Arabidopsis thaliana: one gene and its partner. The protein of the gene in region 1 purifies or fractionates together with the protein of each later gene. This does not show direct contact. Each region holds a gene or a part of one and is shown in the gene's direction. Other genes may lie near its edges. The genes, in order: AT2G26380 and scpl35.

Evidence for each region.
Region 2: the proteins of AT2G26380 (region 1) and scpl35 fractionate together in Arabidopsis thaliana (co-fractionation; one large-scale study listed by BioGRID). This does not show direct contact.

Annotation. Positions count from the first base shown.
Region 1 is NC_003071.7:11,225,945-11,230,143, reverse strand, and holds AT2G26380 (Leucine-rich repeat (LRR) family protein), read left to right. Parts: upstream 1-2,020; 5' UTR 2,021-2,086; coding exon 2,087-3,529; 3' UTR 3,530-3,656; downstream 3,657-4,199. Other genes in the region: AT2G26390 (Serine protease inhibitor (SERPIN) family protein), read left to right, coding at 1-33, 269-1,057; AT2G26370 (MD-2-related lipid recognition domain-containing protein), read right to left, coding at 4,092-4,199.
Region 2 is NC_003076.8:2,655,448-2,662,235, forward strand, and holds scpl35 (serine carboxypeptidase-like 35), read left to right. Parts: upstream 1-1,606; 5' UTR 1,607-1,788; coding exon 1,789-2,062; intron 2,063-3,987; coding exon 3,988-4,095; intron 4,096-4,196; coding exon 4,197-4,385; intron 4,386-4,514; coding exon 4,515-4,603; intron 4,604-4,712; coding exon 4,713-5,006; intron 5,007-5,109; coding exon 5,110-5,246; intron 5,247-5,376; coding exon 5,377-5,469; intron 5,470-5,566; coding exon 5,567-5,825; 3' UTR 5,826-5,990; downstream 5,991-6,788. Other genes in the region: AT5G08250 (Cytochrome P450 superfamily protein), read right to left, coding at 1-334; AT5G08270 (C5orf35), read left to right, coding at 6,300-6,344, 6,658-6,752. UniProt on the Arabidopsis thaliana protein: Probable carboxypeptidase.

The DNA of each region.
Region 1 (4,199 bases):
GCTTCTTGTAGTCAAGTTGACTTCGCAACCAAGGTAACTTTTTTCGTTAGGGATAAATTTTGCTTCAATTATTATGGGACCGAAACTTAGACTAATCCCTATAACATAGATATATAAAGGTGAATGTTCGTGTTATTTAAGACGTTTAATGTGGTTACGAAGGAGACGGCTATATCACATTCTCTTTTTTTATTTCTTCAATTTCTTGTGTATATATGACATCCAACTTCACTAATGATTGGTCAATTTTTATCGCTTGGTCATGAAGCCTGTTGAAGTGATTGATGAGGTAAATATATGGGCTGACGTCCACACAAATGGACTCATCAAGCAGATTCTTTCACGCGATTGTACCGATACTATCAAGGAGATCCGTAATAGCACACTTATTCTAGCAAATGCAGTGTACTTCAAAGCAGCATGGAGTAGAAAATTTGATGCAAAACTAACAAAAGATAACGATTTTCATCTTCTTGACGGTAACACGGTAAAAGTCCCCTTCATGATGAGTTATAAGGACCAATATCTAAGAGGCTATGATGGTTTCCAAGTTTTGCGCCTACCTTATGTAGAGGATAAACGTCATTTCTCCATGTACATTTATCTTCCTAATGACAAAGACGGACTAGCTGCTCTGCTTGAGAAAATAAGCACTGAACCAGGATTTCTTGATAGCCATATTCCACTTCACCGTACACCAGTCGATGCTTTGAGAATTCCGAAGTTGAACTTCTCTTTTGAGTTTAAAGCTTCAGAAGTTTTGAAAGACATGGGGCTTACTTCTCCATTTACTTCCAAAGGTAATTTAACTGAGATGGTTGATTCGCCTTCGAACGGTGATAAACTGCACGTCTCAAGCATTATTCATAAAGCTTGCATTGAGGTGGATGAAGAGGGAACCGAAGCTGCAGCGGTCTCTGTTGCCATCATGATGCCCCAATGTTTGATGCGGAACCCGGATTTTGTAGCTGACCATCCATTTCTGTTCACTGTGAGAGAAGACAATAGTGGAGTAATTTTGTTCATTGGTCAAGTTCTTGATCCTTCTAAACATTGATTGAACTATGTCGTGTGATGAGCGTTGTTCGGTTTGCAATAATGTAGGAAACCCCGTGGTCTTAGTGTGCTTTTCCATTGTGTCTCCTACTTAGCTGGAGAAAACATTATGAAATATGTTTGTTGTATTTTGTCTATATTTATGGTTTGGTGAAACTAAGTTTGCTTCTTCTTCTTTTTATTGCTTTGTGTAAGTTCTAATAGTGTACGTTCTTGTCTAGAAACCATTGTCCTCATTTTCTATCAAATGAACTACAATCCGGAGCAATTTATCTTGAAAATCTCAGCAAATAGATTACACATATTCTCTGCATTTTTATATATCCCGAATCATTTTTAAATCTATGGCATATTGGTCTTATAAACCTTTATCAAAATATGGGTTTACGTCGAATCTACCTTTTTCCGACTTTAAGGCAGACAATCTTGGTGAGAACATTGCCATCATCTACATTCTACATCATGAATTAGCGTTTTAATATTCATCTCTCCTTTCTCTTTTGCTTTATCCTCGGTTTCTTTTATTGATATTCTTTCATTTGTATATTGAACTTCTAGGCTCTAGCGGTACCTTTTAGCATTCATTTGTATATTTCTTTTCCCACATGCCAAATGTTGTCCCATTATATTAGTACCATTTAAAAGGATTATCTTACCAAAAAGTCACTACTAAGAATACTTTTTTCTACAGAGTTTATAACCTATAACGGTCAATATTAAACATCCCTCCTATAAAATACTAAATAATCTTAAATAATGTCAAAAGACCCTTTTTGTCAAAACAACCTTTTGACAAAAGATAATTGGTAGTTATTATGCTATATAGTTTTTATTTTTGTCACGTTTTATACTGTTATTTAATTATCTTTACACTGTATTAATCGTTACGCGCAAATGGATTGGTCCAAATGGGTCAACTTTGACTATTTGATATTAATTGGTGTCGAGTCTAATCTCTCTTTAGACTAATTAGCTATCAGTTTGCTAATTGCTTCTCTCAACCTCACTACAAAAAATAAAATTCACTACCATGAACTCTTGTTCTTTCCACAACTTCTTCATTTTCACCGCCGTGATCTTTCTCCGGTGTTTAAACCCCACCGCAGCAGCCACGTGTCATCCTGATGATGAGGCGGGTCTATTAGCTTTTAAATCGGGTATAACCAAAGATCCTTCAGGTATTCTAAGCACTTGGAAAAAAGGTACTGATTGCTGCTCTTGGAACGGTGTCAGTTGCCCTAACGGCAACCGTGTCGTCGTACTCACTATCCGCATAGAGTCCGACGATGCCGGAATCTTTCTCTCTGGCACAATCTCTCCGTCACTGGCCAAACTCCAGCATTTGGAAGGGGTCGTCTTTATCAATCTCAAAAACATCACAGGACCATTTCCACCATTTTTATTCAGATTACCACATCTAAAGTATGTTTACCTCGAGAATACACGTCTCTCTGGTCCTCTTCCAGCCAACATCGGCGCGCTTAACCGCTTAGATACATTAACCGTTAAAGGAAACCGGTTCATCGGTTCAATCCCGAGTTCCATATCCAATTTAACTCGGTTAAACTACCTAAATCTTGGCGGTAATCTCTTAACCGGAACAATACCGTTAGGGATTGCTAATCTCAAGCTCATTTCGAATCTTAATCTCGATGGAAACCGTCTCTCTGGAACCATCCCGGATATTTTCAAATCAATGACTAACCTTCGAATCCTCACTCTCTCACGCAACAGATTCTCCGGGAAGCTCCCTCCGTCGATTGCATCGCTCGCGCCGGTTCTTGCGTTCCTTGAGCTAGGTCAGAACAATCTCTCGGGGTCGATACCGAGCTATTTATCAAGATTCGTGGCGCTCGACACACTGGATCTCTCCAAGAACCGTTTCTCTGGAGCCGTGCCGAAGAGTTTGGCCAAGCTGACTAAAATTGCTAATATCAATCTCTCTCACAATCTTCTAACCAATCCATTCCCTGTTTTGAACGTGAAGAATTACATCTTGACTCTAGATCTGTCGTACAACAAGTTTCACATGGAAACAATCCCGGAATGGGTGACCTCAGCGTCGATCCTCGGCTCTTTGAAGTTGGCTAAATGTGGAATCAAGATGAGCTTAGACGATTGGAAAACAAGGCAAACTGATCTCTACGTTTCCATTGATCTTTCGGACAACGAGATCTCAGGGAGTCCACTGAGGTTCTTGAAGGGAGCAGAGCAACTACGGGAGTTTCGAATGTCGGGGAACAAACTCCGATTCGATTTGAGGAAGCTAAGTTTCTCGACGACGCTCGAGACGCTTGATCTATCAAGGAACTTAGTGTTCGGGAAAGTGCCGGCGAGGGTGGCCGGATTAAAGACACTTAACTTGAGTCAAAACCATCTTTGTGGGAAACTTCCGGTGACAAAGTTTCCAGAAAGTGTGTTTGCCGGCAACGACTGTCTATGCGGCTCCCCGCTAAGTCATTGTAAAGGTTAATGGATTCATTCATCGTCATGTTATATTGTTTTTGAACTTCATGTGTCACAAGTTCCATATTCTTCTTTTGTCTTTGTTTAATTTTCGTATTCTCTTTAAGTTCCTTTATTTACTGATTTTGTGTTACTGATTTTGGTATATGAATATCGCCACACAACACCTTCAAATCTTCTAATTTTTTTCTGAACTAATCAATTATAATGGAAAAGTTTCTAGAAAACAAGTGCGCTCTATACGTATAAAACAAGGTGAGACAGATTCGTGCATCGTTTATTCATGTGCAAATGTAGCTTATTATGTTGTTGTAGCTTATTTGCGATAAAAACATAGCTAGAGATTTGTTGTTGTAGCTTATTTTTAGCAAATGCGTTAGAATTTTTTTCTATATAGTTACTGAAATATAAAAAGGATGCTAGTAATTAACGAGAGAGTCGTATAAAACTATAAATTCAATATTTCTTTTATTTGTTGAACAACACGAAAAGGGAAAAAAAAATGCAAGTAATACGGGAGTGTCATATGAAGAATTGAAAACATATTTCCATAAGCCAATTGGATTTAATCAAGCAGAGACCGATGTTGTAGTTGGAGCAGGGTTATCGAACTCAACACACATTTTTAGCAGTGGCACTTCAGCGTCATCACCATATTCATCAACAAGGGATATGAC
Region 2 (6,788 bases), on another chromosome or scaffold:
CAACGCAGTTGAGGGTGCTAAACCAAGGACCTCTAAACCGGAATGTCCCGTTTTGGCTGATAAGAACATCAGACAGCCATTCGTATATGTTGCTTCGTACCGCGGATATCAACGAAGGAAGCATGCCAACCAACGGCCAAACGGGCATCCCTTGGTGTTTCTTCTGGCGCAAGGAATGTATTGTCGCAAACACGAAAAAGGCAATAAAGAGCTCAAGAATCTGAACATCTCTCAGGGAAAACAGCCTCCTTGAAACCAGAAGTTCGTCGCTTCCGAAACAAGAAGAGGACACGGCAGTAGCCGTGAGATTATAAGAAGAAAAACTAAGATTCATAGTGACAAAGAAGGAACAAAGAAACAGAGTGTGTATAATTTTTTTGCAGAGAGAAAGAGAAAGAGAGATAAGAAATAATGAAGTTGTTAGTTAATTTAGTAGGTGAAGAATGTGAAATGAGGGAAGAAGGATTTAAGACGCATAAGTTTCGTGTTTGGCTCTCAATGTGAAATTGGGTTTGATTTGGTGAGCTAAAAAAAGTTCGTTGCTCTTTTCTAACGGTCTTTTAAATTTGTGTGGCTCTTTATTCTCGTGTTTTGCTATGTTTTCGTTTTGGTCTTTTGAAAGGACGAATCTTTTGGAGGGGATTAACTAGAAAATTAGGAAAATTAGAATTAGGGTTTTAGACTTGAGGATTGTTGATAAAAGAGAAATTGACAGGTGGGTAGTGACGGATCACCTAAGTTCTTGTTTATTTGTTATACACTTTATTTTATTTTGTCAAACAACTTGTTTAATTTATACGTGTGGAAATTGGAATTGGAAGAATATTAATAGTGAGTAATTCAAATAAACAGAATTTTTTTGGATACTACTGTACTATTTTAAACCTGGCGGTGAAGCCGTTGTTGTTTGAATTTAGGTTATCTGCATATATCTGGTGAATAATTGTTTTCGAACAATTTGGGCTTAGAAAACATATGGGCCTATCAATAAAGTATCGGGCCTTTGATATATATAAAATTTCATTAACCTCATTATTAATGTATTTTGGGCCTTACAGGCCCTCTGGCCTCTTCTAGGTGACTATAGCATCAATAAATGATTCTCATTAAGCCGCCAATTTCTCTGGCCTCTTCTAGGTGACTATAGCATCAATAAATTATTCCCGAGACAATTGCGAATAAACCACTTTCTTTGGAAATTATCATTGAGATCAACATAAAACATAAGCTTTGTTTATATGACAATGCTGTTGTTTTAAAGCTCTACGGTAGTACTACACATGTAATTTAATGAATTTTAATTGATTTCTAAACAGTACGAGCAATTTGTGTGTTGAATTCAACTTTGATTATATGGTTTATAAAACCTTGTTTTGGGAGATGAAATTCTGAATTAAGAAAAATAAAGAAGAAAGCATTTAATTTGCCGATGGCTCCATCTCCATAGCCATGTGGTTCAGTCTCCGATGATGACATCTCAAGCGTTGAAATTCAATTCCATCTTTCTGTAAAAGGTGAGAAAATTGGTAGTGAACCAACCATGTTATCGGAGACCGTGGAGGCACATTACAAGGAAATGATTATGAAATGTGTTTATTGTTATAACATTTTCACGTGAGTATCAAAAAAAAAATCTCATGAAAAATAAAAGACTTTTAAAGTTTTTTTTAATATAAAAAAAGACAGTATAAAGTAGAAGAAGTGGGGGCGTTTTCTCATCTGCTCTTCATTTCGATAAATAATTGAAAAGAACAAAAGAAACAAAAGAGACGAGAAAGAGTTTTGGCGATGAAGAAGAACGCACTTTGGCTACTGTGCATTCTGGTGTTACCGGCGATAGCCTGTGGTAGGAAACCGGAGAAGAAGGTAACAATTTCATCCTCTGGGAGGAAGGAAGATGACCTTGTAACCGGTTTGCCCGGCCAACCACCGGTTAACTTCAAACACTACGCCGGTTACGTGAATCTGGGGCCTGAACAGAAGCAAAAGGCACTTTTCTATTGGTTCTTCGAAGCTCAACAAAACTCTTCTCGTCGTCCTCTCGTCCTTTGGCTCAATGGAGGTCAGTTTCTCTTCCTCTCTCGCTCATTTACATAAAGTATATTTTATTTGAAGTAGTAATACAAACTTATCATTGTTCTCAATTGGAATTTTCATTCGAAACTTCATTGTTTCTGCGGTTTTACAAATATGTTTACCAATTTTAAAATGATAGCACCTTTTTTGAAACGGATGATGTGATGATTATGTTTGCAATAAAAAAATCAGTGTAATGAAAGATTAATGAACTCTCAAGCTCGTGCCTCGTGGGCCATGGTAATTAGGTTAATACATATGTCTAATCACACCATCACGTATTGACCACAAAACTCTGTGCCTGCAGGCCGTGATGTTGGGAAAATAATAGATAAAACTTGCACGAAAAAGAAAAAGAAAAAACACTAAACATAGAGAAATGTTTTCGGCAGTTGTATTTTCTTGGATACATAATTGAATTTGGACTAAAATTTTAATTATTTATATAGCTAACTCTTAGAAAACATCAAGTTGTGTACATTGTCCTACCAAACTCCATCGTCTGTCTCCTTACCCTGCCTTGTAACTTGCCAAGCAGTTCCTTTCGTTTCAGTAACAATAAAATTTTACTGTAATTGTATCGCAACGAGATAGTAAAGGGTCGTTTCGATGCAGTTGTTTTTGTTTTAAATTTTCCAAAAATTACAAGTCTATCAAATAGCCAAAACTTAAAGTAGTCTATTGTTTGTACAGTTATATATCGCTATTCTTAATAATCTGTAACTTATAGATGCCGTGTATGGCTTGATAAAAATAGCCAGAAACACCATTAAGTGATACACTGATACTATTCAACATTTTTGTTCCTTACTATTGCTTGATGGAGAAGTGATAACAAATCTGATACAGTTGGGAATGCCGACAAATTTTAATTGCCTACTTTAATAATATTTCGTTTTGTGGAACGCACTTCAACAATCTGTAGTCTGTATACGGTGGAACGAGTAGGTTCTTGCCTCTTCGGGACAAATATAGTCCAGTCCTCGTTTTCTTAACGTGAAATCTCAAAACCATAGCTTAAAACAAGTTGTATTTGAAAATGAGCTTCGATCTAATTAAGTGAACAAAAGTTATTCACAAAAATTAAAATTAACCTGTTTAAATACATCATATTTTTTCGTGAAGATTCAGTGAAATAAAACACTATACTATAACCCAACAACATATTTGGAAAAAATATCAACGAAGTCGTATATGGTCCGGCTCTCTGACAGATATTGGACTTGTATCATTCAATCAGTGTCCTTTTTGTGTAACATTCAATGTCCAAATCTTGTTTCTAGAGTGAGTAAAGATCTTTTGTCTGTTTCTTCTTTTTCTCTCGGTAGTTGTACATTCAATTTAACGAATTTACTTTATACGGTTTGTCTTTTTTCCCACACGGTTCATTCCAATATTAGGATATTTAGGGATACGAGAAATATCAACCTAGTCTTTTTTATTGGGGCTAGAAATCGGATAAGATGTTGAATATTCAATTATACACTTAGAAATAAACAAAAAGCTATGTCTAATAATAATGTGGAGTTGTGTACATGTCTAGTTTGAACAGAAAGATTGAAATTTGTTAATAATGAGGTATTACCTTTATAGGATTTGCGTGATTGAAGGGTACACACGAATCCAATGTAATCAAGAGCAATAGCAAAATCTTTAGTTATTTAATTTCTGTATACGAAAATGATATTTGAATCTTGATAGACAACTCGGGACAAAATACTGACGTCTAGCTAGCTAGTCTCATTAATTTTATTTTTTCTCGACAAATTTAGTTGTTTAGTTTTGGATTTTCTTGACAAATCTAGCGATGGAATTGAAAATAGCAATTTTCTTTAGTGAATTGTATTATTACATATTTGGTGAAACTCTTAAATTATTTTCATCAGTTTAACTAAAATCCAAAATATGCAGGACCGGGTTGCTCATCAATAGCCTATGGAGCTGCACAAGAACTAGGCCCTTTTCTTGTTCACGACAACGGTGGCAAACTTACCTACAATCATTTCTCTTGGAACAAAGGTAAAATGAATTATTACCATACTATCAGAAACATTTGAATTCTTTAGCTAACATGTATACTAATATTAACCGTGGTTACATTAAAAAAAATGTTTGTGCAGAGGCCAATATGTTGTTCTTGGAAGCGCCGGTTGGGGTTGGGTTCTCGTATACCAATAACTCAATGGATCTTCAAAAGCTTGGAGATGAAGTTACTGCATCGGACTCTCTTGCTTTCCTGATCAACTGGTTCATGAAATTCCCCGAGTTCCGATCCAGCGAGTTCTACATCTCTGGCGAGAGTTACGCCGGTAAGTGCTTTATCCGATTTTAATTCTTGATTTATGAATTATATCACCTAATATAAAAGAATTAATCTTGTATATTAATATTATATAAAACAAAGATTGAATCACATGCTTTTGATCTTCTTTTCTCAGGTCACTATGTTCCTCAGCTCGCGGAGGTAATTTACGACAGGAACAAGAAGGTTACGAAAGACTCTAGCATTAATCTCAAGGGATTCATGGTATGCACTCTATATATATGTATACTACTAGTAAGGTTACTTGCGAAACGAGGAAGCAACGTTTCTTGTGCTATAAGTAAACATAAAAGGTATTCGTTTGATGTTGCAGATAGGGAACGCGGTGATCAATGAGGCAACAGACATGGCAGGACTAGTGGACTACGCATGGAGCCACGCTATAATATCGGACGAGGTCCACACCAGCATCCATGGCTCGTGCAGTTTTGAGGAAGATACCACCAACAAGACCGAACAATGCTACAACAATTTCAAAGGGTTCATGGATGCTTACAATGATATCGATATATACAGTATCTACACTCCCGTTTGCCTCTCCTCTTTGTTGTCATCTTCTCCAAGAAAACCTAAAATCGTCGTGTCTCCTCGTCTCCTTACTTTTGACGTACGTAATCTACAATACAATATAGTATCATTGTAACATAATGTAATTACCATAATCTCTCTTCTTACTTTTTCTTACCAATTCTTCTCTTTTGATGGTTTAGGATTTGTGGGACAAGTTTCCGGCCGGGTACGATCCATGCACTGAAAGTTATGCCGAGAATTACTTTAACCGGAAAGATGTGCAGGTTGCACTCCATGCGAACGTCACCAACCTTCCTTATCCGTACTCTCCTTGCAGGTTAGTCCTCCTTACGTTACGTGGTACTAACTAAAATTAATAGCTAGCTAGAGACTTTGTATGTTAAGTTTAATGTCATGTTTCTAATGAACAAAGTATATATATATATGATCTTGTGGGTGTGATTCAGCGGAGTAATAAAGAGATGGAGTGATGCTCCATCCACCATGATTCCCATCATACAAAAGCTTTTGACGGGTGGCCTCCGTATCTGGATCTATAGGTATCTATATCTTTCTTTAACTGTTTTAAAAATTACGTGAAAAATTCATATATATTGTCAATTAGTTTAATGTTCACTGGTTCAATGTTGGCTATAGTGGAGATACGGATGGGAGAGTTCCGGTAACATCTACACGTTATAGCATAAAAAAGATGGGACTTAAGGTCGAGTCACCGTGGAGGTCATGGTTCCACAAGAGTCAAGTAGCTGGATGGGTTGAGACTTATGCCGGTGGACTAAATTTTGTCACGGTGAGAGGAGCCGGTCACCAGGTTCCGGCCTTGGCTCCGGCGCAATCTCTCACATTATTCTCTCACTTCATTTCTTCTGTCCCCTTGCCTTCAAAACGGTTCTGATATCAGTACCGTCAAGTCATGATGGCAAGTTGTTGTTGTTGTTTTGGAACCTTCGTTTAGCACTCTCCCAATTGATTTTATGAATTTCAATTGATGAATAAAGATTCTTCAACTTTTAGTTATATAATAAGGCTTTTACCTTTCTACGCACGTTTTTCGTTGTTTAATAATTTCCAGTATTTCAATTTTCAATAATCAACAAATCAGTAGTCTACTTCATTAATTTTGGAACTCAATGAAAATTTTCAAATTAATTTTAATATGAATGAAATAAATTAGGGGGAGACGGCCCTTAAGGCCCATTATAAATTTAGAGGGCCATTAAGGCCCATTAACACAAATTAAACCCAGTCATGGAGCTGAGGCAGTAGCGTTCGTTTTTTTGGAATCAATCACCGAAAGAGATCTTTCAACTGAAGCACCTGCGATTCATCTTCTTCTCTGCCCGTCGTTTCAACGTGAGGAGAAAAAAGAATGGCGTTTGCAAAAATGATGTTTCTTTTCGGAAAATTTCAGCAGGTGAATATATGAAGTTCTTATCTTCTAATCTGACTTATTTTTGAAACTTCCTCTCTGGTACGTGTTTTTTGATGTTGGGTATGAAGAAAGTTCGAGGCTTTTCAAAGGATTTAGTCTTCACTGTAATATGATTCCTGTGACTATATTTTGTAGCTTGTATAGACTTCAGAACATATGTGAGTACTTGAAAATGATTGAATTCTCAATGATTTGCTTTCTGTCCATAAAATGTAATTTGAAGTTGCTCATACGATAATAATAGGCATTGTCAATTTTGATTCAATGGTGAATTTGCTTTTAATTTTCTTTTCAGGGTGTTGGTGTTCTAGCAAAGAGTACCACTTTTGCTAAGAATCCAAGGCAACTGCAATTTGAAGCCGACATTAACAAATTGTTTATGTTTACAAGGTTGGTATTTTTTTGGTATAGATTAAGAGCTTTTGA